Linked DNA regions of Mus musculus. The main gene of each other region encodes a partner of the protein of the gene in region 4 in a complex. Links are inferred from orthologs where the notes say so. Each region holds a gene or a part of one and is shown on either strand. Other genes may lie near its edges. The genes, in order: Txnl4a, Lsm3, Lsm4, Prpf4, Lsm2, Sart1 and Lsm7.

What was found.
Region 1: Prpf4 (region 4) and Txnl4a share a complex: the UniProt entries of both Homo sapiens proteins name them as parts of the precatalytic spliceosome. The link is inferred for Mus musculus from reciprocal best matches to the Homo sapiens genes PRPF4 and TXNL4A.
Region 2: Prpf4 (region 4) and Lsm3 share a complex: the UniProt entries of both Homo sapiens proteins name them as parts of the precatalytic spliceosome. The link is inferred for Mus musculus from reciprocal best matches to the Homo sapiens genes PRPF4 and LSM3.
Region 3: Prpf4 (region 4) and Lsm4 share a complex: the UniProt entries of both Homo sapiens proteins name them as parts of the precatalytic spliceosome. The link is inferred for Mus musculus from reciprocal best matches to the Homo sapiens genes PRPF4 and LSM4.
Region 5: Prpf4 (region 4) and Lsm2 share a complex: the UniProt entries of both Homo sapiens proteins name them as parts of the precatalytic spliceosome. The link is inferred for Mus musculus from reciprocal best matches to the Homo sapiens genes PRPF4 and LSM2.
Region 6: Prpf4 (region 4) and Sart1 share a complex: the UniProt entries of both Homo sapiens proteins name them as parts of the U4/U6-U5 tri-snRNP complex. The link is inferred for Mus musculus from reciprocal best matches to the Homo sapiens genes PRPF4 and SART1.
Region 7: Prpf4 (region 4) and Lsm7 share a complex: the UniProt entries of both Homo sapiens proteins name them as parts of the precatalytic spliceosome. The link is inferred for Mus musculus from reciprocal best matches to the Homo sapiens genes PRPF4 and LSM7.

Annotation. Positions count from the first base shown.
Region 1 is NC_000084.6:80,220,326-80,223,825, reverse strand, and holds part of Txnl4a (thioredoxin-like protein 4A), read right to left. Parts: intron 1,648-3,500; coding exon 1,476-1,647; 3' UTR 1-1,475. UniProt on the Homo sapiens protein: Plays a role in pre-mRNA splicing as component of the U5 snRNP and U4/U6-U5 tri-snRNP complexes that are involved in spliceosome assembly, and as component of the precatalytic spliceosome (spliceosome B complex).
Region 2 is NC_000072.6:91,514,815-91,518,834, reverse strand, and holds the start of Lsm3 (U6 snRNA-associated Sm-like protein LSm3), read right to left. Parts: upstream 2,801-4,020; 5' UTR 2,778-2,800; coding exon 2,757-2,777; intron 1,788-2,756; coding exon 1,677-1,787; intron 1-1,676. Other genes in the region: Xpc (DNA repair protein complementing XP-C cells homolog), read left to right, coding at 3,036-3,129. UniProt on the Homo sapiens protein: Plays a role in pre-mRNA splicing as component of the U4/U6-U5 tri-snRNP complex that is involved in spliceosome assembly, and as component of the precatalytic spliceosome (spliceosome B complex).
Region 3 is NC_000074.6:70,676,231-70,679,252, reverse strand, and holds the end of Lsm4 (U6 snRNA-associated Sm-like protein LSm4), read right to left. Parts: intron 2,699-3,022; coding exon 2,657-2,698; intron 1,476-2,656; coding exon 1,377-1,475; intron 1,300-1,376; coding exon 1,119-1,299; intron 894-1,118; coding exon 802-893; 3' UTR 501-801; downstream 1-500. UniProt on the Homo sapiens protein: Plays a role in pre-mRNA splicing as component of the U4/U6-U5 tri-snRNP complex that is involved in spliceosome assembly, and as component of the precatalytic spliceosome (spliceosome B complex).
Region 4 is NC_000070.6:62,411,783-62,415,282, reverse strand, and holds part of Prpf4 (U4/U6 small nuclear ribonucleoprotein Prp4), read right to left. Parts: coding exon 3,401-3,500; intron 2,934-3,400; exon of another isoform or gene 2,439-2,933; intron 741-2,438; coding exon 653-740; intron 109-652; coding exon 29-108; intron 1-28. UniProt on the Homo sapiens protein: Plays a role in pre-mRNA splicing as component of the U4/U6-U5 tri-snRNP complex that is involved in spliceosome assembly, and as component of the precatalytic spliceosome (spliceosome B complex).
Region 5 is NC_000083.6:34,980,599-34,984,653, reverse strand, and holds the start of Lsm2 (U6 snRNA-associated Sm-like protein LSm2), read right to left. Parts: upstream 2,801-4,055; 5' UTR 2,572-2,800; coding exon 2,569-2,571; intron 2,525-2,568; exon of another isoform or gene 2,398-2,524; coding exon of another isoform or gene 2,287-2,397; intron 2,035-2,286; coding exon 1,967-2,034; intron 1-1,966. UniProt on the Homo sapiens protein: Plays a role in pre-mRNA splicing as component of the U4/U6-U5 tri-snRNP complex that is involved in spliceosome assembly, and as component of the precatalytic spliceosome (spliceosome B complex).
Region 6 is NC_000085.6:5,378,704-5,382,203, reverse strand, and holds part of Sart1 (U4/U6.U5 tri-snRNP-associated protein 1), read left to right. Parts: coding exon 1-18; intron 19-132; coding exon 133-243; intron 244-450; coding exon 451-538; intron 539-903; coding exon 904-994; intron 995-1,087; coding exon 1,088-1,223; intron 1,224-1,676; coding exon 1,677-1,766; intron 1,767-1,862; coding exon 1,863-1,984; intron 1,985-2,068; coding exon 2,069-2,087; 3' UTR 2,088-3,500. UniProt on the Homo sapiens protein: Plays a role in mRNA splicing as a component of the U4/U6-U5 tri-snRNP, one of the building blocks of the spliceosome. May also bind to DNA.
Region 7 is NC_000076.6:80,852,410-80,856,368, reverse strand, and holds Lsm7 (U6 snRNA-associated Sm-like protein LSm7), read left to right. Parts: upstream 1-1,159; 5' UTR 1,160-1,182; coding exon 1,183-1,188; intron 1,189-1,212; exon of another isoform or gene 1,213-1,308; coding exon of another isoform or gene 1,309-1,344; intron 1,345-1,657; coding exon of another isoform or gene 1,658-1,660; coding exon 1,661-1,751; intron 1,752-2,539; coding exon 2,540-2,611; intron 2,612-3,268; coding exon 3,269-3,411; 3' UTR 3,412-3,544; downstream 3,545-3,959. Other genes in the region: Sppl2b (signal peptide peptidase-like 2B), read right to left, coding at 981-1,028. UniProt on the Homo sapiens protein: Plays a role in pre-mRNA splicing as component of the U4/U6-U5 tri-snRNP complex that is involved in spliceosome assembly, and as component of the precatalytic spliceosome (spliceosome B complex).

The DNA.
Region 1 (3,500 bases), on a different chromosome or scaffold from region 4:
CTTTTTTTTTCTTTTTTGGTTTTTCGAGACAGGGTATCTCTGTGTAGCCCTGGCTGTCCTGGAACTCACTTTGTAGACCAGGCTGGCCTCGAACTCAGAAATCCGCCTGCCTCTGCCTCCCGAGTGCTGGGATTAAAGGCATGCGCCACCACGTCCGGCTTCTACTATTCTTTTAATGAGCAAATTAGTGCTAGGCGTTACATTGCAGCTCTGCATGTGAATCTGACTTTTTGCAAGCTAGGAACTGAATACTACCTCTATCACCAAGCGGCACCCCAAGCCAGGACTCATGTTTTGGTTCATCTGACGAGTGCGTTTATTTGTAGGTCAGACATCTGCTTCACTCCTGAGCTTTCCTAATGGGTCAGTGTGTGAACAACAGAAGGTACTGTCCACCCACCAGGCGTCCAGTGAGTGTTCGCCACTGCGTACGATGGAGATGCATGGGGCAGGGGTACTGAGGCGCTCGTCCAGAGTCGGCTCCTGGTATGCTCATCTTTCTCTTCTGAGTTTGTGTTTAGAGATGAGAGGGTAGACCCGGGTCCCTCCACATTGCCAGGAAGAGAAGAAACAAGAGGAAGCTGACGTAGATAAGGGGACTTGTGCTGGGTGGAATGAGGACCCTGCTTCCTTAGGAAGCAGGACACAGACATGCTGTGAGGAAGAGTGGAGGAAGGGAAGCGCCGCCAGGCAATTGCTTTTTCGTAGTTGTGTTTTGAGCTCGGCTGCCTGGCCTCAGCCAGCAGCAGGAGTGAATCCTACCTGGATCACAGTGCTGTTTTATATGCTGAGAGAGATTAAGACTGGGTATTCTTATGGGTTATGTCACCCCAAATTAATATGTTGATGGTTTAAGCCCAGAATCTCAGACCATGACCTCATTTGGAGTGACTATCATACGTAATCGGTTAAGATGAGGCTGTACAGAGGTGAGGTGGCCCCAGGCAAGGTAACTGGTGTTTGTAAGTAGGGTATGTTTTGAGATTGACATACACATGATACACATGACTTGTAAGGAAAACGGCAAAGACTGGGATAACGTGTGCCCAATCCAAGGTTTACCAAGGATGGCCAACAACCTCCAGAACCAAGGGGCTGCTGCAGATGGCCCACAGCCTCAAATGGAATCCAGAACCCAGCCGCCTCAGGCTCACACCTCGAGAACTGTCCAGCTAAAATGTCTGGGGTAGTTTGCTTGACAGCTCTGGCAACCGCTCGAAGATGCAAAACCAGACAGCCTCCTGGGACAAACACTGGGAGTAAAGACATTTGCACGCAGTAAGCACAGCAGATCCCCACTGCTCCCTCGCCATGTTTATTTGCTCCAGCTAGCTAAGGCTCTGTAGCCCTCATCTCACGGATCCTCCAGCTCTACAGCAATGTCGGGCTGCAGGGCCTTTCCAGAGGCTACGAGAGCAGAGTATTTCTATGTGGAAGAGGCTCTCAGTGTCCTTTGCACAGCCTGAGGGCAGGGCTCAGTATCTGTACTTGGTAGAATAGTCCTTGGGAGACACCACCAGACCCCGGCCTTTGCGGGCGCCACGGTACACGGTCTCTATGATGTCAACCATTTCTTGCTTGTCTTCCATGGCCCAGTTGATCTTGTTGTTGTTGCCAGTGCCCAAATCAATCATGATATGTTTGTTTCTGAAAGAGAAAAGAGGAGCAATGCTCACACAGAGAGCCCCCACCATGCCTGTTCTCTCTCTGTTCTAAGCACCTAGAATGTCATTTAAGGGCACTGCCATCCAAAGAGACCACAGTTCAAAACAAAATAAAGTCGGGCAGTGGTGGCACACACCTTTAATCTCAGCACTTGGGAGGCAGAGACAGGCAGATTTCTGAGTTTGAGGCCAGCCTGGTCTACAGAGTGAGTTCCAGGACAGCCAGGGCTACACAGAGAAACCCTGTCTCAAAAAACAAAACAAACAAACACAAAATAAAGACAAACACTAAATATCATTTTCTAGAAATGAAACACAGCAGCCACACACTCTTCTTGCATTCTTCTATATTTTCTTTGCATTCGTGTGTGTGTGTGTGTGTGTGTGTGTGTGTGTGTGAGTGAGAGAGAGAGAGAGAGAGAGAGACAGGAGACAGAGAAGGTCTCTCTCTCTACATAGCTCTGATTGTCCTGGAATTCACTATATAGCTGGAATTCACTATATAGCTAGGTCTGGCCTCAAACTCAGAGACCGCACTGCCACTGCCTCCTGAGTGCTGGACTGAGAGCATGCACCGCTGCACCCTGCAATTGTGCATTTATGTCTAGGACTGTGAAGACCAAGGACAGCTGGATCGTTTGGAAAGACATGCAGTTTTCCTGAGGTGCTCTCATCTTCCTGAACGAGCAATGGGCAACCTCTTACGCTTTGTTCACACAGACCTGGTACAGCTTTACCAAAGGCTTTGAACCATGAGTTGAGAACGATGGCTCTGCCCACCCTGGCATGCTGTGACTGAGAAGCAAACAAGCCACTTGTCCTTGTCACTTGTCCTTTAGAGGATAGGCCTTTTCCCCACTTAGGAACCTGCATTTGCACTTTCTGAATAAAGATGTTAACCCCTGCTGCACTTGCATGAATTTTTCCAGGTTCCTAAAGATCTACTTGTTATCAGTCTAACTTTTCACTCCTACGGATCACACACTGGCTTCCACGATGGTCCACGTGGATGAGCATGCTCCACGGGTTCTGAGCACAGTGAGAAGGTCGGTTTGACATAACTTCTGTGTCAAACACTCTCTCCCAGGGTAGCATTCCATGTCCTCAGCCCAGGAACGGGGTGGACACCCACATCTCCTCCCACCCACACACATGCACAGCAGCCCTGCTGACCTCCATGGCTTACTCTCTGTGAGCACACTGGGCATAACTAGTCCTTTATATACCTGGGAGCCCTGTGCGATTCAGACAGGCTTCAGTCAGTTGTACTCTGCAAAGGTTTTTGTAAAGCCTGGCTTCTCTTACTCTGGCCCAGTCCTAAGAGTAAAACCTTGTAGGTGCTCAGTGCACACACTGGTCCTAATTAGATAGTGTCCTAACGACCTCAAAGACACCAGCTATGTCCCCTATCCACATACCAACATTGCTCCCTGAAACTCCTTCCACGCCCATCACTGTAAAGATGGCCCCTCTGTCGCATGTGAAGTGAGGCCTTGTTTCTCACAAAGAGGAGAGGGAACTTGCGTTGCGCACTGGGAGCCACTGTGTCCTAAGCTGTATGAGCAGCAGAACTTGTTAGTGATGAGCCTGTTTATTAGCAGACGAGATTTCCAAACAAGGAAGTGCTGCCTGCTTTCTCACTCCCAGTAAAAGGAGCAGAGGTGACTGGGCACAAGACCGTTAGTGAGAAGATTAAATTCCCAGCTTCTCCAGATAATGAGATGCCTTGAAAGATCACAGGCCAGAGCACTCAGAGGAGATAAGGTGGGTGTGTCTCCCAAGGGTGAGAGGCCCTCCCAACCTCTAGGAGGCTTCTGGACTGGGAACATTGGCTCA
Region 2 (4,020 bases), on a different chromosome or scaffold from region 4:
CTGTGGGCTCAATCAGGAAGGATTTCAACCGCAGTGTTCAGTGCAATCTCCAAAGTTCATTCCTTTTACTAAACAGCAAACCTCCTGGGGCTTGTTCAGAACCCACTGCATGTTCTTCTAACAAAGTGCTAAGCGCTTTTGCCTGCTCATATCAAGATTAAAAATAGCCTAACAGCCACACTGGGAAGGAACTGCTTGGCAGCTACACAAATGAGCAACTCATCTGGAGAGCAGGGAGGAAACAGAAAGCTGGGCCGTTACTGCAGAGGTAAGAGCTGCAGACAACTCCAAGTTAGAGGCCACAGTCTGGCCTGGGGATCATTCCGTGCACCAGAGTGCCATGCAATTTAGCATCATCCCACATTTCTCACCAAACTGACACTGCTGTTCCCACAAGGCCAGCTTGTAGATCAATTCTTTATCCTTGGGTTTCATGAAAGAACATGAATTTCTAAGACTGAGACTGAAGTGGGATGGCCTGGTCCCCTACAGTGGCTCTGTCACTGTCAGTAGAGGGTTGTTTCTAATTTCTAAGCCTGAACTAAAAGACTTATTTCAATTCCTGTTGTAAACAAACAGCCCTGAGGGAAGTAACAAGAGGAGACAAAACCTTAAGTACACAATGATGGGACCAATTCCTCAGACATATAAATGTGCACAAGCAATATCTGTGAAAGTACCCATTGCAGCTTTATAGCTGGGGGGGGGGGGGGAGACTGAAGTCTGACACAGAATCCTGTATCCTGTGGCGTTGTGTCAGCTGTGTAATTATTCCACACAAAAAACATGTGAAAAAAGTGTGTACATATGAGACAAGGTTTCACTATGTAGGCCAGACTGGCCTCAAATATATGATCGTCCTGCCTTGGTCCTCTAAGTACTGGAACCATGGCACATGCCTCCGTTCCTCACTAGGCTCCCCTTCAGACACAGGTGGCATATACACATGCAGACGACTATGCAGCCAACTTTGAACAGTGGTCAGACATAGAGAAAAATGGAACTTCGCCTTTAATTTTACCCATTTCTATGAAGTTGTTTTTGTTTTTGTTTTTTTTTTTTTGGGTAGTGCTAGGGTAGGGGCTTTGCCGCATGCTAGGCAAACTATCTCTAGCCTGCTATTTAATTCTTTTCATGACAAAACAGAGCTTTATATGTCAAAAGCTAAAATACCCTATCCAATAACTTTAAAAAATCCAGGACAATGCCAAGAATGAAGAGCATGTCTGTAATCCCAGCTCTCAGGAGAGAGGCAGAGGGAGCTGGAGTTTGAAGCTAGCCAGGTTTTCTAGTATGACCTTGTCTAAACCCAAGAGAACAAACAAGTTTATTCATAAATAAGCAGAAGACAAAACTGAAGGAAACGAAAGTGTTCTCTATGGTTGGAGAGATGCTCAAGCTAAGAGCACTGGATTCCTGAACAGGACCTGAGCGTATCAGGCAGCTCACAACAGTCTGTAACTCTAGCTCCAGGGGATCAGATGCCTTGTTCTGTCTCACCGGAGTCCCACCCCTCTCTAAAAAACCATTCTGGTTAAGGAAAACATATTTTAAAAGTGAATAGAAGGATTTTCCAATTCCCAAAAGAAATTCAAAAAAGTAAGTTTACACTGCAGTTCTAATTTGTAAGGAGGTAGGATGCAGCCTCTGGCTCTGAGATGTTTTAACAGACTTACGTGTAGTCTGCCTCGAAGCTCTCGGTCATTTCTCATTTTCACATAAATTCGCTCATCCAGGCTGAGCCTGATCAGATCCAGGGGCTCCTCTACGGTATTGGTGGTCTGTTGCTGAGGAAAGGCAAAGGCTTACTCATAGGATACAGAGGCCGGGTGGTGTTTCAATCACTGGTCAGCTGAGAGAGCAGCATGTGGGTGCTAGTACACAACCAGGGTTGTCTCCAAGATCAGCAAGCGCTCTTATCTGCCAAGCCACCTCTCCAGCCCCAATAAATCCCCATTAAGGAACTTACACTCTAGTTGTGGAAGAAACACTTTAAATAAATACATATTTAAAACAACATGCTCTGGAGAGAAACACAGTAGGGTAGCACGTACGTACGTACATACGTGTGTGTGTGTGTGTGTGTGTGTGTGTGTGCAGGGGCTATACATATTTAAAACAACATGCTCTGGAGAGAAACACAGTAGGGTAGCACGTACGTACGTGTGTGTGTGTGTGTGTGTGTGTGTGTGTGTGTGTGTGTGCAGGGGCTGTGTGTGCATGTGAGGGTGTGAAAGACATTTTGGTGGCCAAGGTACACCAGCTACCTAAGAAATAGGGAAGGGTAGGTGCAGAGGCCCGTAGGCCCTTCTGTTGGCCTGTGTACCAGATCTTTGCTTGTTTTCTTCATACTCCATCTCTAGCAGTTTCTCCATCTCCTAGAACTGCACCTTTCCTCTGACCTCCCCTCGTAATTCACTCCAAGGGAACCACTGCCTGTGCCCCCCGTGTTCACTCGGATTGCTAAACTGGTGTCCTGCTACGACCTCCCGCTTTCTGTCGGAATCCCGACAGCTAGCTCCCAGAGATGGGCATCTCCAGCCGCCTGCATTCATTCTACAGAGAAAGGGCGACGACGAGCGCGATGGGTAGACGGGCGGGTTGAGAAACTCTGGGCCTACGGAGGTTTCAGGAGCAGGCCCGGCTACGGAAGGCCGTGGTGACTCGGAAAAAAAGAAAAGGGCCATCCCACGGGAAGCGTGGAAAAAGCGAGAAGCGAAAGCATTTCCTCTTCGAACGCCTCAGGTCAAACTTACCTGATCTACGTCGTCCGCCATGTTTCAAACGCTGCGCCCTTTCCACCTCTCGCGGGAACAGGAACTCAGAAACCTTAGGCCGCCACGCACTGAAGGCGAACTATATTATTTTTGTCCCTTCGCGCCCTCGTAGTTTGCATGGGGGCGGGGCTTCCTTCGAGGGCGTGGTCCTACCCTGGGCTGGGGGCGCGGCCAGGCGTGGCCCGCCTCCGGGCGGGGCGGGCACGCGGAGACCTGCGGCGTCCTGCGCGGTAGTCCCGAGGAACGCCTCTGGCTAGCATGGCCCCAAAGCGCACCGCAGACGGAAGGCGGCGGAAGCGGGGCCAGAAAACCGAGGACAACAAAGTAGCCCGGCACGAGGAGAGCGTTGCGGGTGAGAGGCCGAGTCTGCAACATGCCAGGCAGTGGTGGCTGAGGCTGGTGCGGGCGGCGGAGCGGATCTGCGCCTGTGGCAAGGTCTCCACGGCCGGGTGCGCGGCGTCCCCGAGGGCCTCTGCTATCAGCCTTAAACCCCTCTGTTAACCATTAGAGCCAAGTTCAGCCTCTAAGCAAGTGTTGAAGGCTGAGCAGCAGAAAGCTTCGCAGTTACCAGGTGTCTCAAGGAGACCCCAAAACCAAGACGGAGGGAGACTCTAGTGCGTGCGAGATCTCTCTCCAAATTCCCGACTGCCATCCAGTGTAACTCCAGAGTTTAGGATGTGCTTTGTTGTTGTTGCTTTGTTTTTCCGGACAAGGTTTCTCTGTGTAGCCCTGGCTGTTCTGGATCTTACTTTGTAGACCGGGTTGGCCTCAAACTCAAGAGATCCACCTGTCTCTGCCTCCCTAGAGCTAGGATTAACCCGTGTCTGCCACTGCGCCCTGGCTAGAATGCGCTTCTTACCTAGATCTTGAACAAAGCAAAACTTCCATCTTCCCTCTTAAACAAATCCATCCTCCAGTTGTTCCATTTCAATAAATCACACCTTTTCTTAACTGCCAGTTCGGCAGCAAGTCCAGTCAGCTTCGGAACCAATGAAATCTGTACCTAATTCTCTTTAATTTTATAGCTGGAGATCCTGTCCACAATTGAGTAAGTGAACTTCACGTTGCTTCTTTTCTGGCTTCCTCTCATCTGTCTGCCTCAGGTCATCATCTAGCAGCCAAACGGATGTAGAACAACAAAACCTCATGCCTCTGTCTTCTTATCTAAAACCCCCTCAGACTTGCGCTCTGCAAGTATAGCATCTTCCTCACTTAGCTGGTTTCCTACAGGATTTAGAGGCTG
Region 3 (3,022 bases), on a different chromosome or scaffold from region 4:
GAAACAGACACAGGGGACCTGGAGAGTACTCAAGGATGAGCTCCATTCCAAGCACTCCAATGGCTGTCATCTCATTTCCAATATGCACCAGGTATGCATGTGGTAAATACACACGTGGACAAATACACAGACACATGGGCACAGACAGACACACGTACATGTCCCGTGCTGTGCTCTCCCTGGGTCACTTTCCCTGTGGTGCACTCTGGAGTTGTATGGGATCAGAACTGTTCTGCCTGCAGAAGCAGCCTGACAGCCTCCTACCCTAGTCTCCCACAGTCCAATCATTACAGGCCTGGCTTTTTAAGTGCTTTGTAGCTCCAGTTGGCCTAAAACTCCTGACTCTACCTCTTAGCCTTCTAAATGCAGGATCTGCTCTACTCTCACCTCCACTGGCAGGACACACAGACAAGCCCCATGCCCAGGGAACTGCTCCCTCTGATAAGACCCAGGTGCCCTGAGGACAACATGCTCAGGGCTTAGGCAGAAGAACAGCTGGCTCTTTCTATGGTGTTTGCTTTTATTTTTCAAACAGAAGATGTACAGGGTATGGCTGGTAAAGGACAGGTGAGCCGCCATGGGCTGAGCCTGCAGCTCCAACTGAAACTCAAACATGCCTGGAAGAAGTCAGCCCTTCAAAGGGCATCTAAGGCTCCACAGGCACCTCAGACTCGGAACCTTCCAGAAACTGAGTCAGTGGCCAGCGAGGGACTTCACTGGACCAGACGCCAAGTGGGGCTTCACACAAAGGTGCCCTGAGGCCTCACCCACCGTTCTGGGCTCGGCTCAGGCAGGGAGTGATCACTGTTTGCCTGCCTGCCGCCCTGGCTTCTTCTCGGGCTGGCCTCGGCCTGCACCTGGGATGCCACCCCGGCCCCGGCCACCAAACACACCTGCACAGAACAGAAAAGGCAGAGTTAGACACCAGCGTCCCTAGACAGGGACAAGGGTCTTCCCCTCTGTGCCCTGGTCCACTGCGCAAGGGTCCTGTGGGAGATTCCAGGTTGTACTCAGCCTACAGGAGCCCACACCACCATGCCCTACATGTGATTGAAGAGGGTGCAGAGAGGCGAGTGCCCAGGTGTCCCTCCCCCACCTCATCCTCACAGGGACCCCACCTCGGCCAGCGCCGCCCATGCCTCGGCCTTTCTGCTGCTTCTGCTGCTGCGGTCCTCCTCGCCCTCGGCCCTTGGCGGCCTCCTCCCGCACCATGTCAATGATCTCATCAGGGATGCGCAGGTACTTGATGGTGCTGCCACGGATGTAGCACTCAGGCATCCTCCAGAACTTGTCACCATCCTGTGGAGAGGGGAAGTGTGACAGGTGGGCATAGTCCATCCAGGCCAGCAGTGCACCCTCCCCGCATGACCACTCACCCGCGACGTGCAGATCACCTCCCGGAGGTTGATGTTCATCCAGTTGTCACAGCTCACCAGATGCCCGTTGTAGGTCTCCCCATTCTTCAGCTCCACCAGCTGTGGGAGAGCCCATCAGCCTAGCTCAAACACAGCTGGCTTCCCATCCCAAACTACAGCTTTCTGGGTGTGCTTTGGGATCAACCTCTAAGGGCTGGCTGCCGCTCAGCTCATAAGTGGGTGCTGTGATAAGCAGGCACCGCCCAGGTTCCCCACCCAATGTATGGACAAAGACAAATTAAAACTCCACACTAGCTGGGCATGGTGGCACACACCTGTGATTCCAGAACTCTGGCGGCTGAGGCAGGAGGATAGTGAGGAAACAATGGGCAAGCCCAGTCTAGTCACCTACAGAAGGAGTGTTAACACAGCCAAGAAAATGACTCAAAACCACTGAGTGACAGACAAGCCACACTCAGAAATGCTCACAAAATGCAAAGGAGCAGACGTCAGGTGGGAGCAGTGCACAGGCAACCAGGGCTGGGGTAGACCCGAGGTGGGTGCTGAGGGGAAATGAGAAGAGGCTGGGCTCTGGCTGTGTGGAGTCTATAAACACACTACACACCACAGAGGCATGGCTCCTTCTGTGGCACCTCGGATGGAACCCAGGCCTGCAGCTTGCTGGGCCATGCCTTGGCTATTCGGCCACACTGCTGCTCCTTTTCAAAAAAAAAAAAAAAAAGCTTCAACCAGTGGCAATCCTCCTGCTGCATCCTCCCAGGCAGCTGCGATGACAGGGGACCTGGTCTATGCTGTGACTCTCAGGGCAGAATCAGGGGCATGAGTTGCACAGTGCCCAGCTTCTTCTTGACATTACTTTTAAAAGATTTTTTTTTTTTTTGGTTTTTTTTTTTTTGAGACAGGGTTTCTCTGTGTAGCCCTGGCTGTCCTGGCACTCACTTTGTAGACCAGGCTGGCCTCGAACTCAGAAATTCGCCTGCCTCTGCCTCCCAAGTGCGGGGATTAAAGGCGTGCACCACCATGCCCGGCTATAGATTTCTTTGTGAACGTTTTCCTTTGTATTGCATTTGCCATTCTGTCTGTGTGCAGACAGGGCAGAGAACAACTTCAGGGAAGTCATGAACCCCTCCATCATCACATGGGTCCTGGGGATTGAACTCAGGTCCTTCGGCTTGGCAGCAAGCACCTTTACCCACTGAGACATCTTGCCAGGCCTTCAATCATGAACTGCAAAAGACTGAGCTGTGGGCACATGAAGGGAGGTGGCCCAGAGTGCTTACCATGGGGTGATTCTGCGCTGTCTTCAGCAGCGACAAGGGAAGCTGGAAGGCAAAAGTCAGTGTGAGGTGTAGTCCTCAATTCAGGGACGACCACATGGGCATGGCTACCCCCAATGCACTCGCCTGTCTTCAGGTCACAGGTAACCTCACATCATCCCATTCTACAGATGTGAGCCACCTGGACCTCCCGGACCATTTTGGTCATTTCTCCACAATTTCTGTCACCTGGAACCACAGAAGCGGGGCACAGTCCTCTGTCTGGAGGTAGCTTTTCTGAGGCAGAATCTTGTCATAAGCCCAGGCTGGCCACAGCCTTCTAAATGCACAGGACTGCACACCAGCCTGCTTCACATCCCGTCCATGTGC
Region 4 (3,500 bases):
GAATTCTTTCTTCTGGACCTCTGCTTACCTGGGGAGTGAATAATTAGCAATCCACAATCTGGCCACCTTCAGGCTATTTGGCCCTTCATGGTACCAGGTTTGCTGATACTGAGAAGGAAATAACAGAAGAAACGTTAGGTCTGGAAAATGCCTGCTCTCCCAACAGTTGTTCCCCTCTGTTCTCCTCACAAAGAAGGTGTCTGGTGCAGTAACAGAACAAAGCAGGCACTCGTCCTTCTGTTAGTTACTTTTTACTTAACTGTGTTGTGTGACTGTGGGGTACATGCATATGAATGAATGCCATGGAGGACAGCATTCGATTGCTCAGGATTGGGCATTCCTAGACTCAGGTGTTGGGACCCAAACTTGAGCCTTCCTGAAGAGCAGTGTGCATTCTTAAGGGTAGAGCAATCTCTCCAGACTCCTTGTCTTTTTTCTATGACTTCTTATAGTTTCTGGTTTCTTGCTGAGTCACACCAAGAGTGCATAGCTCCTTCCTGAATGGAGCACTTCCAGCACCATCCCCAATCCATGAAAATGATCAATTATTGCCATCAATCAGTCCCATATGGCAGAGAGAGCCTGTAGACACCTCTCTTCACTTTAGCAAAGAAAGCACTGGAAAGAATGCCCTTGAACTTTCCCAGTTTACCTCCTCCTTTGACTTCTTAGACTTTTCATCATCTTTTTTCGTCTTTTTTAAGGCATCAGTCCCGACCACTGAGAGAATATTTCTTAACCTGTAACAAAAAAGGTCAGAAATCAATATGGATGAGGTCCAGTAGGGCCCCATCACCACTTGTGGAAGAGATATGTCGAGATCCCTAAAAGCTTACAACCACAGGGAACAATGAACCTTAGCCACACTGTGTTTGTTTCCCTACTCATACATTCTCCCCCCCACGTGACAGGGTTTCTTTGTGTAGCCCTGGCTGCCCTGGAACTCACTCTGTAGACCAGGCTGGCCTCGAACTCAGAAATCCGCCTGCCTCTGCCTCCCAAGTGCTGGGATTAAAGGCGTGCACCACTACTGCCCGGCTCATACATTCTTATACTGTTTAACTCATAAATTAGCAAGGTAAAAGGTTAGTAACGAAAAACCAAAACAGATTTTTATAATTAGGTGAACGAGATCTGTTTTTCTTTCTTTCTATCTTATTCTAGTGCACACTAATAGGAAGGTAGCAAGGAAACAGCCGATGGAGGGACAGAGCTTGATGGTGTGTAAATGAACATTTATAAAGTGTTTACTTCTGGCATTTTCCCAGTCAGTAATTTTGGACCTCAGGTGACTATGGTGGGAGAAACAGGAAAGCCAAACATAGGAGAAACGCTGTGCACCTTTGCTCTTCGCCTCTCAGACTCCTCCGGTCTCCCTAAGACTCCAGTGGGCACGTCAAGCCTTTCCACAGTCTTTACCTGAAGCCTCCTTAATACCAGCCATCAGCAATTACTCTATTCCATTTAGAGTCAACTGCTGCCACGTATAGCTGGAACCCACTGAATGCCATGGTGCACAGGGCACCGATTCAAGGGCTAAGGATATTTAATGATTAAGAATAGTCCAAAGGAACTAGGCTTGATGACACACACTTTTAATCCCAGAACTTGGAGGCAGAGGCAGGTGGAGTTCTCTGAGTTCAAGACCAGCCTTGAGTACAAGTGAGTTCCAGGCCACTAAGGGCTGCACACTAAGACCCCATTTCAATAAAATAAGAATTACAAGTGAGGTGCGTTGGTAGGCTCCAGGCCAGCCAAGGCTATATTGAGAGACCCTGTCTCAAAAGAGCAACAACAGGGCTAGAGAGATGGCTCAGTGGGTAAGAGCACTGACGGCTCTTCCAAAGATCCTGAGTTCAAATCCCAGCGACCACATGGTGGCTCACAACCATCAGTAATAAGATCTGACACCCTCTTCTGGTGCATCTGAAGACAGCTACAGTGTACTTAGATATAATAATAAATAAATAAATCCTTTTTTTAAAAGAGCAACAACAAAATCAAACTAAAGGATAATTCTGATGACACTACAGAAAGCAGTACATTATACCAATACCAGAGAGCGGTGAACATAATGTGAAGGGAATATGGAAAAAGTACAGAGCCAAGGCTTGGGAGCAGGTGTGGGATAGATATCAGGGAAGGCTTTACAGATAGGGTGTTGTCAAACACTCATTCAGCCCAGAGTCAAAAACAGAAGTTGAGACAGAGGGTTAAAGAACTCTAAAGGCCTACAGTCAGGGACGCAGGGTGAGCTTAGGCCTGCAAGCGCTTCAGTAGAGTTGGAATATGGAACAAAGGGGAAGGGCTGGTGATGGCCAAAGCTGGGAAGTCAAGTGGGGCCTGGTCACCGGAGCCTTTACGCTACCCAAGGAAGGGTCTGCAATGAGAATGATAGGGCAGCAGGCAGAAGAGGAAGAACAGTATAGAAAACTCGCCTTTACTGTTAAAGCAATCAAGTCACAATGGTGGCCCCGAGCTAAGGTAGTGGCAGCTGGGATTCAAGGCATTCACCTATGGGACATAATAATAAAGCACAATGGACTTGGTAGGCAGAACACTGAGTCAGGCTGGCAGGGCGGCTGGGAGGCAAGGGGCCTGCTGACTTGAGATAGATCCCTGGGACACATGGTGAAAGAGAACCAACTCTCACAAGTTGTTCTATGACCCCCACATCCGTATGAAAGCACATATATGTCTACACACACACACACACACACATACAAATAAGAAACACTTAAAAAGGCACTGGCAGAAGTAATGGAGCAAGGCTTCTGTGAACAAGGGGCATTTATGCTCAAACAAAATCACATGACTCTAAAAGCTAAGAGAGAAACAAAAAATGAAATATTTGTGTACCAGGTTCAGAGGTTAAAGATTACTTTTTGCGCCAGGCGTGGTGGTGCACGCCTTTACTCGCTGCACTCGGGAGGCAGAGGCAGGCAGATTTCTGAGTTCGAGGCCAGCCTGGTCTACAAAGTGAGTTCCAGGACAGCCAGAGCTACACAGAGAAACCCTGTCTCGAAAAACCAAATCAAACCAAACCAAAAAAAGATTACTTTTTGCTCTTTCAGAGGACCCAAGTTCAGTTCCCAGCAACCATATCCGGTAGTTCAATATTGCCTGCAACTCCAGGTCCATAGGTAATACCCTCTTTTGGACTCCCAGGGTATCCTAACTCACCTGTACACGCTTCCACACAGACATATTATGGATTTATATAATGAAAACAAAACAATCACCTAGCATATCCAGCAAGCAACTTCCCAGCAGAGTAGGCAAGGGCCTGATGGGAGTCAGCACCAACTTCACAACCCTCAATAACCACAATAACCACAGTAACCACAGTAACCTTGTACCTCCAGCGACAAATAACAAATGTAACGTTTATAAAGGACACCTTTCTCTTCGTTCAGCAGGGCCCTCTCCAAAAAGCGTGATAGGCTCTCCCAAGGCTCGAAGGCAAGCCTTGACCTCTGAGTCATCTGTGGAAACATTGA
Region 5 (4,055 bases), on a different chromosome or scaffold from region 4:
TTAAGGGATGCACTGCTATCAACACCACTTAGCTAATCATCTTTCAAAGTATTATCATCCTCCAGGATATGAGAGAGGTCATGGAAGGTAACAAAACTTACAACCAATAAACTGAAGGTCAGCCCAGATCTGCATGACTCCCAGAAGCATCAACTATTATTTTTAAAATATTGATTTTTATTATTTGTGTGTATGTGCATGTAGTTACCCACAGAGACCAGAAGAGGGCATCAGATCACTTGCAGCCAGAGTTCTAGGTAGGTGTGAATCACCTAATGTAGTTGCTGGAAACTGAACTCTTATTTTTCAGGGAGAGCAACAAGTTTTGTTTTGTTTTAAAGATTTATTTATTATTATATCTAAGTACACTGTAGCTGTCTTCAGACACTACAGAAGAGGGCGTCTGATGTCCGCTCTCTTTACAGATGGTTGTGAGCTACCATGTGGTTGCTGGGATTTGAACTCAGGACCTTCGGAAGAGCAGTCAGTGCTCTTAAAATCTCTGAGCCATTTCTCCAGCCCCCAGCAAGCTCTTTTTAAAGCACTGAGCAATCTCTGCAGCTTCCCTAACTGTTATTTGTAAACATTTACTGCTTTGGAGTCACAGACCTATGTACACATACTGGTAGCTGGAATTACTCTTTATTATTTTTGCTACACTCTTTTTTTTCTCGTATGAGTTTTTTGTTTGTTTGTTTGGTTTTTTTTTGTTTTTGTTTTTTTTCGAGACAGGGTTTCTCTGTGTAGCCCGAGTGCTGGGATTAATGGCCTGCGCCACCACACCCGGCTTCTTCTTCTTTTTTAAAAAATTGGATATTTTCTTTATTTACATTTCAAATGTTATCCCCCCCAACTTATCTTTAATAATGAAGATACAAGTCAAGTCTTCTCAGTTCTCCAGCCCTCTAGCCCCTAAGCAAGGTTATCAAGGCCAGTGCTCCCATACCACCTTACATGCCCCACCTTATATTATATTTACCCTCTGTGTAACCAACTTTAACCACCTCAGATCCTGAGTTTTACTTCCTCACTCTCTACATCCTATGAATCCCCACAGCTCTGTAGACCATTCGTGTGATTTGACTTTTAGACTATGAAAGGTCTTAGTCTGCACCTCAGTCTGGGCCAGCTTCTAACTTGGCCACACTGGTCAGAACCATCCTGCTGGTCAACCACTGATGTGTGTTCAAAGGTTTCAAGAGTCTACAAATAAAGTTATTTTGCTGGGCGGTGGTGGCACACGCCTTTAATCCCAGCACTCGGGAGACAGAGGCAGGCGGATTTCTGAGTTCGAGGCCAGCCTGGTCTACAGAGTGAGTTCCAAGACAGCCAGGGCTATACAGAAAAACCCTGTCTGGAAAAAAAAAAAAAAGTTATTTTAAAGAGAAACATGAGGGCTGCATATGAAGTTCACTTGTTGAGCATGCCCAGTACATGAAAGAAAACAAAAGCAAACAAAACCCGGCTTCAATGAAACTATAATTTTCGAAGCACTATTAGGAACCAAGTAGACCTTAACGGATGTGACAAGAACCCATAAACATATTTCCAGTGGTACAGCATTTAAGCATTTACCCCAACTCCTGAATCGTTAAGAGCAAATGATACAGCCAGGCAAATCCTAGCACTCAGGAGACAGAGGCATGTGGATCTGTGTGTTCCAGGACAGCCAGGACTACACATACATGTTACTTAACTGTATCTCACTGTGTAACTCCGGATGGCCCTGGACATATGTAGACCAAGCTGTCCTTGAACTCACACCTCTGCGTTCAGTGTTGGGATTACAAGCATGTGTCACAATACCAGGCTCACTCTTAAACTAATCTTTTACACTTAAGACGAAAGGTATTTCTTCTGTGTTTTGCCTACCTACTCTGAAGTAACTTTGTCAACAACAACGACAAAAAGGATCAGGACACCCGGCACCCCCACCTTCCACCAACTCGCTAAAATAAGGACCTACCTCAGGTCATTCTTGAGTTCCACGACTACATCCTTGCCCACAAGAGACTTGAAAAAGGAGTAGAAGAGCTATTGGAAAAGAGGGAGGAACTATCACATGAAAAGGGACGGGGAGGAGGAGCCCGTGACAGTATTTTGAAATACTAGTCTTTGTAGCCCCTCCTAGTAGTTCTCAAAACTTCATAACCAACAACAATCCGTTAAACGGGACTCTGCAGTTCACGGAGCCACGGAGTGACAGGACCTGCGTTGCACCCCTCGACGCTAGAACCCACTCTCTGAGTCGACCACCTCCCAGCTGAGACCGCTTCCCAACCGCACCCTCACAAAGTCCTCGTCAACAGCACAGAAGTGCAAGGCTCGCTTCCCGTTCTCCCCCGGCGCCCGTGGGCTTTCTCTTGGACTTGCTAAAGGTTTCCCCCAAAACACCATCGGCTCCGAGCAGCCTCCTCACACTGGGGTGTGGGCAGTAAGGCTGTACGGAAAACCCTGGGGCCTGGCTGCCGCCCCAAGCGACCGACACGAGTGCCCGCACCCACGCCCGCACGGTTCGAACCGCCCGCCGCGAGCGGCGGCGCTCCCTTTTGACGTCACGGTACCCACCATGGTGCTGGCGCCACGCGGGGCGGCCTGGACCGCGAAGGAAGGCGCCGGGGACTGCGAGCCGGAGGCAGGGCGGGAGCCGGAGCGCGAGCCCGCGCGTGAAGCAAGACTGGATCACGCAGGCGCACGGGGAGCCGCGAAAACCTCGGCTGAATTCAGGCTCAAAGGGAGCGGGGTAGGGCAGAGCCGAGAGGACCGCCAAACCGGTAGAGGGGCGGAACTTCCTGTCCCCCCCACTTCCTCCCGAGCAGCCGCTTTCTCACAAGCGCATGCGTGGGCCGTGGCAGCTGCGCGTTGGACGTAGTTCGTCTCTTTTTCTGATGGTTGTTGAGACTTTTCTCTCTGCCGCGTGATTAGCTCGTAGTCTACGTTTTCTATGGGGAATTATTGGGAAGATTGAGAAAATTATGACTTGCGTATTCTTTAGTAAAATTTAAAATGTTGCTAAGAGCTGGACAGCGTTCGTGCCCAACTGGAATCCTGGAGTTGAGACGGGAGGATTCTGGTTTAGAGGTCAACTAAAGCTATTATAGCAAGACCCTGTGTCAGAGAATAAAATATACACCAATACACACTGGTTATGGTGTGTGTGAGTGTGAGAGAGAAACCGGAACACAAATCCTGATTCTTATCAAAGGTTCCCAGTAAGTAAGTTTCTCTCAATTTCAGTCTTTTGGGGTGCAAAGTTGACCCAGAGCGGACACATTCTAAGCAAAGCAAATGAACAACATCCCAGCTCTAATGTTATATATATATATATAATTTGGCATAGGACTCGTCTGTAAAGGACTAAACTGACTGGAACTCAGTGACAGAAATATTTTACTTTATCTTAGCTTTTTTTGTGTGTGTTTGACAGTTTTTGCCTGTATGTTATGTCTGTACTACATGAGTTCCTGGTAGAAGAGAGGGCTTCAAATGCCCTGGGCCTGGAGTTACAATGGTGAGCCTCCTTGTGGGTGCTGGCAATCAAATCTGGGTGTTCTGGAAGAGCAACAGATGCTTGTAACTGCTGATCCATCCCTGCATTACTGAAATATTTTCAACTAGATCACCGACAGATACTACTTTGGATGTTCTGGGAACAGCATTACCAGGCTTGTAACATGCTGGTTGTGAAGGAGTTCACAAGAGCTGACTGATTTAAAAAAAAAACAAAAAACTAGAAAAGCCTCAGTAGGCAAGTTCCAGAGAAGAAAGAGATGGTCTGAGATGAAAGGGCTTTGTTGTTATTTCGATTGACTTGTTTTATGTAAGTATGCTGTGGCTTTCTTCAGACATCCAGAAGAGGGCATCAGATCCCACTACAGATGATTGTGAGCCACTCTGTGCTTGCTGGAAATTGAACTTAGGACCTCTGGAAGAGCAGTCAGTGCTCTTAACTGCTGAGCCATCTCTCCAGCCCTATTGTTTTTTTTTTTTTAAATAATTACATTAAGTGGGAAGTTGCTAGGTTGTATCTTCTGTGGATATCATGTCTGGATAAA
Region 6 (3,500 bases), on a different chromosome or scaffold from region 4:
GAGCAGGAAGAGCTCATGGTACGTCAGCAGTTCCCTGGCTGTTGTCCTTAGGCTGCTGACTTCTGCTTCTAGTGCTTGAATGTAGCAGGTAGGGTTGAGGCTGCCCACCCTGACACTGACTTGTGGTCCTAGGACTTTGAAAGGGATGAGGAGCGCTCGGCCAACGGTGGCTCTGAATCAGATGGGGAAGAGAACATTGGCTGGAGCACCGTCAACCTGGATGAGGAGAAGCAGCATCAGGATGTGAGCACCGGTGGGCGTGGGTGTGGGGACCCAGGCTAGTTGTCCAGTGCCTGAAAGCCTCCACCCATCCATAGAAGGGGCACTAACCCTTCCAGAGCCAGCTGGGGGTCAGTTAAAACTGGTCCCACAGCCTAGTGCCTGGTGAGGATGACCGCTGGATAGAAGAGATGGGGCAGCCTGCTCACACTTCTCTTTTCTCACCTCTAGTTCTCTGCTTCCTCTACCACCATCCTGGATGAGGAGCCCATCGTGAACAGAGGGCTGGCTGCTGCCCTGCTCCTGTGTCAGAACAAAGGTGTGGGCTCAGGGTGGGAGCCTTGGCAGTGTGGGTACTATAGCCGGGACGGGCTGGATGGTTGCCTGTGAGTACTGTATGGTGTCCTGGGTTTCCACTCCTCTTCCCCTCAGTCTCGGGGCTTCAAGCAGCTCCCTAGACGCGGAGCCTCTCACTGCCTCTCCTGCTGCGGGGTGAGAGGTCTGCTTCTCTTCCGTGCCTCAGAAGTGGGCTAAACCGGATACACTGGGGCCAGATCCCAGCTGTGCTGCCTCCTTAGGGAAGTGCTGATCTTTGATGTCCGTAAAGATGCGGCATGTTTAACTCCTGAGCAGGGCTCTGAGGGACCTGTATGAAGCTGGGTGTCAAAACTTCTCTGTCCCTAGGACTGCTGGAGACCACAGTACAAAAGGTGGCCCGGGTGAAGGCTCCCAATAAGTCACTGCCCTCAGCAGTGTACTGCATCGAGGATAAGATGTAAGTGTGGCCGTGGCGACATGAAATAGGAGCAGCTGTGAACATGGGGTAGGCAGCAGGCAGCTCACCCTGAGCCCCTCTGCCTTGGTCTAGGGCCATTGATGACAAGTACAGCCGACGGGAGGAGTACAGGGGCTTCACCCAGGACTTCAAGGAGAAAGATGGCTACAAGCCTGATGTTAAGATTGAATACGTGGATGAGACGGGCAGGAAACTGACTCCCAAGGAGGTGAGCAGGGTCTTGTGGAGATGGTCAGACCACAGGTGACGAGGTGAATTCTGCCTCCGTTGCTGACTTTGGGCGTAGTACTGAAGTTCCCACAGGCTGGCTGTCAGGAAGGTTACACCTGTGCTGACTGCCACAGCTGAAGCCCTGTGCCCTGAGTATGCCTACCAGCATCCCCTGCTGCTTCCCATCTCTGTATGCTGGTTCCATGTTTGCTGGCATTAACTCCAGCTCCCAGAGGCAGGCTCACCCTGGACCCTGGATTCTTTTTTGGTTTTTCGAGACAGGGTTTCTCTGTATAGCCCTGGCTGTCCTGGAACTCACTCTGTAGACCAGGCTGGCCTCGAACTCAGAAATCCACCCGCCTCTGCCTCCCGAGTGCTGGGATTAAAGGCGTGCGCCCACATCCCGGCTGCCTGGCCTTTCTGATGCCTCTGCTCCTGCTCTGTATCCCAGGCATTCCGGCAGCTGTCCCACCGCTTCCACGGAAAGGGCTCAGGCAAGATGAAGACTGAGCGGCGGATGAAGAAGCTGGATGAGGAGGCGGTGGGTCTTGGGAGGGAGGTGGGGGCTCTGCATTTTTGGGTGATGTGTGATATGCTGGGCCTGCTCCCCCTGTTCTGACCTCCTGTGGCCCCACAGCTCCTGAAGAAAATGAGCTCCAGTGACACGCCCCTGGGCACCGTGGCACTGCTCCAGGAGAAGCAGAAGGCCCAGAAGACACCGTATATCGTGCTCAGTGGCAGTGGCAAGAGCATGAATGCGTGAGTAGGAGCCGGAGGGGTGGGGAGGCACTGCATCCCCTTTCCAGTCTCACAGCCTCATCGCCCACCCTCTTCTCCCTGCAGGAACACCATCACCAAATGAAGCCGCCCTCCTCCCTGGCCCAGATGTAGTGTTAAATAAAGTTCCCTCCTTATTTTTCCTCTTGGTTGTGCTGCTGTCTAAGGTTAGACCTAGGCAAGGCCTCTGTCACGGTCAGTTCTGCCATCTGGCAAGTCGCTGAGCCTCCTCGCCCTTCTGTGTTGCCTTCCGAGTGGTCAGAACACCTGCTTCATGCGTGAGGCGCCGGTGAGCTCTTTCGTTCACTCTCTGGTTATCCAGGAGCGGATGGGCCTGATCCTTGAACCTGTGTGATTTAAAGTCTGATCTCTGCCTGTAAGACTGGCCATTTAATGAACAGAGGAGGTGAGAAACCAGCCTGGTCCCTCAGAGGACATTCCTCTGTGAGCTGACTCCATTGTAACAGAAGCCCTCCACCCAGTGGCGTGTACCTGTCACACTGCGGTCAAATTGGCTTCTTGATCCCAAATCATTGCTGTTTTCAGACTGGTCACATGCGTGTTGCTAGGCCTTAGAGAGCCACTAACCACCCTGTGTTGTCCTGGTTACAGTTTTCAGGGTACTAAGTAAGGATTGCCTAGGCTCTCTGGAAGGGTAGAGATGTTACCTCCTGTCCCCTGTGTTACTGTGGCATTTGTGGAGGCATGAGGGTCATCCCAGGACTGGGGTAGGGGTTACCTCGAGTGCACTTATATACGAGGACTGAGCCACCCTGCTAGGTGCCTGCAACTGTGCCTGGAAAGATGGGCTTTCTAGGAAGGCGCTGTGGAAGAAGCCCTGCTGAGCCACAGGCTGTGGGAGGACCCTGCCCCACAGGTGGCTACTTTGAATCAGAAGATGAGTGCCCTGTGTCAGTTACTGAAGCTAGCCCCATGTGGGTCTCTGGTGAGTGTATCAAATAACTAGAAAAAAGCAAGAGACAGGAAACCCAGTTGTTTATAAGTGATACTAGGTAGCAGTTCCTGAGACACTGACCATAAAAGAGGTGAGGTCAGTTGGTGTTCTCGGCTGTGCCTGTGGATCTTGGCTAGTGATGGTTGTGCAGGAGTGTCCATTTCTCTAAGTCTCAGGTGCTTGATTATGGTGTCTACTGGCTATGGCCATTGGTCAGAGGTCACTTTTTTTGTTTCCTTTTTTGAGACAGGGTTTCTCTGTGTAGCCCTGGCTGTCATGGAACTCTGTAGAACAGTCTGGCCTTGAACTCAAGGATCCACCTGCTTCTGCCTCTTGGGTGCTGGTATTAGAGGTGTGTGCCACCACCACCTAACTAAAAGCTCACACTTATTTTCAGGAAATTGGGTTGGTGCTGTTGCTGCCACACCTTAGGGAGAGCAGGGCCTAGGGGCTACCAAGTAGCAGGAGACTTGATGCCAAGGGCAGACAGGAACCCAGGTTCGCTGTCAGCGGGTGGAGAAGGTTAGCGACTTAGGTTTGTAT
Region 7 (3,959 bases), on a different chromosome or scaffold from region 4:
GCCAATCAAGGAGGCACATGCCAGCCAGTTGTGGCAGCACCGGGGAGGCTGAGGCAGAGCTGCAAGCCCACCGCCAGCCTGGGCCATACAGGGAGACCCTGTCACAAAAGTCTGTAATCTCAAAAAGGAAAAGAAAAAGTATTTTTAAAAATGACCTGGGCTCTTGTTTCACAAGACAAGAGCGTACACAGTAGCAGGACGCACTGGCCACCCTTCAAACCGGCCCAAGACCCAAGGATGCAACACTCCAGGATCTGGGACTGAAGGCTGGAGCCACAAAGACAAAACAAGAAAGGACTCTACTAAGCCAGGAGTTGCGATGCGGCGCGTGAGATAACTAGGCCGGTGTTTTGCTTTGAGTTCCAGGTTAGCCAAGCCTCACCGGGTGCACAGGGACAGCCAGGGCAACATGGGAAGTCAGAGCCCAGCCTGGACTGCAGAGCGAGCTGGAGGCCAGCCTGAGCTGCGGAGCAAGTTGGAGGGCAGCCTGGACTGCAGAGTGAGTGTGAAGCCAACATGGGTTACATAGTGAGTTCAAGGCTAGCCTGGACTACGCCGAGTTCGAGACCAGCATGCCACCTCTCTCAGAAAGCAAAGCACACCAGAAGCCAGCCTCCTGCCAGGGCGCACCCCGCGCACACCTGAGGCGTCCCAGCAGAAGCTCGTCCCCAGCGTTCTGCACCGACCCTGAGGTGGGGACCCCCTTCCGCCCAAGGTCACAGAACAGAAGCCGGGGTGCCGGGCTGCATGCACCTCGGGGGCCGCGCTGGACGCCCCGGGGATGGAGCGCGGGAACTCGCCCCATTCTGCAAAAGGGGAAACTGAGGCTGGCAGGAACAGCGGCGGCGGCGGTTGGGGCCCCGGGGCGCAGGGCGGGCTAAGCCCCGCCAGAAGTCTGCGGTGGCAATGAGCGAGTGGACCGCAAGGTCAAGGGCACGGTCAGGAGTTGGGGGGCCGGGCCGATCGGCCGTGGCGCTCACCTGGGCCGCGAGTAGCAGCAAAGCTGCGGCCAGCCGCGCCGCGGCCATGTCCGCCGGTCCCCCCGCAGCTCTAGGCGGAAGGTTTCCTGGCAACGCCTTCGGGACGCCGCAACGTGCTTGCGCCGAGGCTGCGCGTGCGCAAAGGCCTCCGCGTTAGAAAAGGGCGGGGCGGCGCCTGCGCAGAGCGACGTGAGGCGACAAGATGGCGGTGAGCATGTCTAGATCGTGGAAAGCAGGGCCGCGGGATCGAGGGTCTGTGGAAGCGAGAGCAGAAAGACTGAAAGGAGAGTGACGGACGCCCTAGAGTAGGGAGACAGGGTGCTGAAGGATGGGAGCCACGTGGGACTGCAGACGGAAGCCATGGGTACAGACCAGGTGACATGAAAAACAGACGACCGACATGAGGATGCAGACGCGGAACGTGGGGGTTGCAGACCAGGCAGACAGGGGTGCGTACAGGAAACAGTGCAGATGGGGTATCCAGGGATGCAGATGAGGACGTGGGCATGCAGACAGAAATGCAGACTCGGGCATAGCATTCAATTAGGCAGACACTGGAGGTGAGGATGCACCCAGGGTTCTGGGAGCCTGAGTTGGAAAGGAGTCCCTGGGTGCCATGCCCAGGCTACAGGGATATGGGGAGGCTGGACCTCTCTCCTCAGCGCCCCACCTCCCAGCAGGACAAAGAGAAAAAGAAGAAAGAAAGCATCTTGGACCTCTCCAAGTACATCGATAAGACCATTCGGGTGAAGTTCCAGGGTGGCCGGGAAGGTGAGTGCCTACCGCAGGGCTCCCTGACACAGAGCTTGGCTGAGGTCACAGCAAGCAAGGGAAGCCACCTAGTACAGGCGTTCCAATAATGGCTTGGGCTATTGTGTACCATTGAAAGGTATGCCCCTATTGTGGGTGGGGAAACAGAGCCCCAGGAAAGGAGTCAAGTGAGATTAGCACCCAGACCAGTATGGATGGATCCTGAAGGAAGGGGCCAGGACCCACGAGGAGGTGGAAGGAGGTGATAGGAAGCCCTGTTCTTAAGCACCTGGACACAGCAGGAACCTGGAAGGTTTCCCAATGAAAGGATTGAAAGTTCCAGGCCAGTTTAAGTTATGTAGCAAGATCTGTCTCCAAGAATCAACCATGGGTGGGGCTGTATGTCTGTGGGTAGATTGCTGGTTTAGCATGCATAAAGCCCTGAGTTCTATTCCCAACCCCGTGTAAACCTGGCGTGGTTGTATAAGCCTGGCATTCCAACACTAGGGGTAAGACAGGAGGATCAGGCTGCCTAGTGAGTCTGAGACCAGCTTGGGCACATGAGACCCTGGGGGGGGGGGGGGAGACTGTTTCAGATTGCATGGATGGGTGACAATAAAGTTTTATGGACACTATATAGCACCTTCCATACTGGAAAGAAGAGGGTTGGAGTCACAGTGACTAGGCCACCACACTTACTTACTCATGAGTTCTGTGGTGGCAACTGTTCCTGAGCTGCCATACCAGGTTCTATATGTGTTACGGGGTGGACTGACATTCTTCTCCATGTCTCGCCCGTGTTCCTCAAGCCAGCGGTATCCTGAAGGGCTTTGACCCACTGCTCAACCTGGTGCTGGATGGGACCATGGAGTACATGAGAGGTGAGCCGGCCGAGGTTGTTGTAGGACGGTGCTGGGGACCTGTGGGGTCAGATTACAGCAGGTGGTGACTTAGGGTGCAGTGTTGGAACACCAGAGGACTGGTGTGCTTGCCGGGAGGGCCTCAGGCTTGAGACTTCCAGCTCACTCTCCTCAGGTAGCTGGCTTTATCCTCAGCCCTCAGGACAGCAGGAATGGTGGCCGCTGTCCTCGGCCAGGAATGTCTACCTGCATCAGAGACTCCAAGGCTCACTGGATCTCAGCTCTGTATAAGCAGGTCCACCCTGTAGTGCCCTGAGCAGACCCCTGCCCCCCACACCAGGTTTCCTGTCTCCAGCCCTCGTGACAGTTATGTCTGACTGCTTACCAGCTCCTCCTGTTGCCCACCCTCTCCAGTGCATCTGCTGCTCAGTAGATGCCCTTGGTGTTTACGGGGTCAGCATGGGCTCTAGCGTTCTTGAAGTTGGAGATGTCTGGCTCCTCCCTCAGCCACCTTCGTGGTTCTGTGGTTTAGACTCTGCTGGTCAGGTGTTTTGAGAGCATCTGGATCTGTCAGTCCCCAGAAGCTGTGAGTGAGAACTCTCAGGCCCCTGAGGTCCCGGCTGTGGCATGCCTATGGATAGATATGCACCTCAGTCCTCTTGCCTCTCATCCTACCAGACCCTGATGACCAGTACAAGCTGACGGAGGACACTCGGCAGCTGGGGCTTGTCGTATGTCGTGGCACCTCGGTGGTGCTCATCTGCCCACAGGACGGCATGGAGGCCATCCCCAACCCCTTCGTGCAGCAGCAGGACACTTAGCAGCAAAGGAGAGCGGTCCAGCCCCAGGGATCTTCCTTCTATGGGGTGAACTTCTGTGTGATGTTTTGGTCTTTTGTTCTTGTTTTGTTTTGTTTTGTTTTTTAATAAAATTGCCCATGTGAGCATCTCCCTCCCTTCCTGCTCTGTAACTTTGATCTTTGGAGAAGCCAGAGCCATGGAGACACCTTGATCAGACACCGTGGTCCAGGGCAGAGCACAGCACAGCCAGGGACTAGCACAGGGATGGGAGAAACCTGGACGCCTGGTCCCGCAGCCCAGCCGGCTTCACCTGGTGGGCTGTGGCAAGAAGACCACACCTAGAAACACCAGAACCTGGTCTTCCTCCATATGGCATCCCCTTAGCACTGGCCCCTGCCTGTTCTCTCTGCCCAGGGGAACCAGGAGGGCCTGAGAAAAGGATTGGCTAGCAGGGAGCCTGGGCCCTGAGGTTCCTCAGGCTGGGGTGCCTCCCTAAAGCGTCTGCCACAAGAGAAGCAGCCCAGGCAGGGGCTGGGGCGGGGCCAGGGCGGGACTCTGTGCTCCTGTGG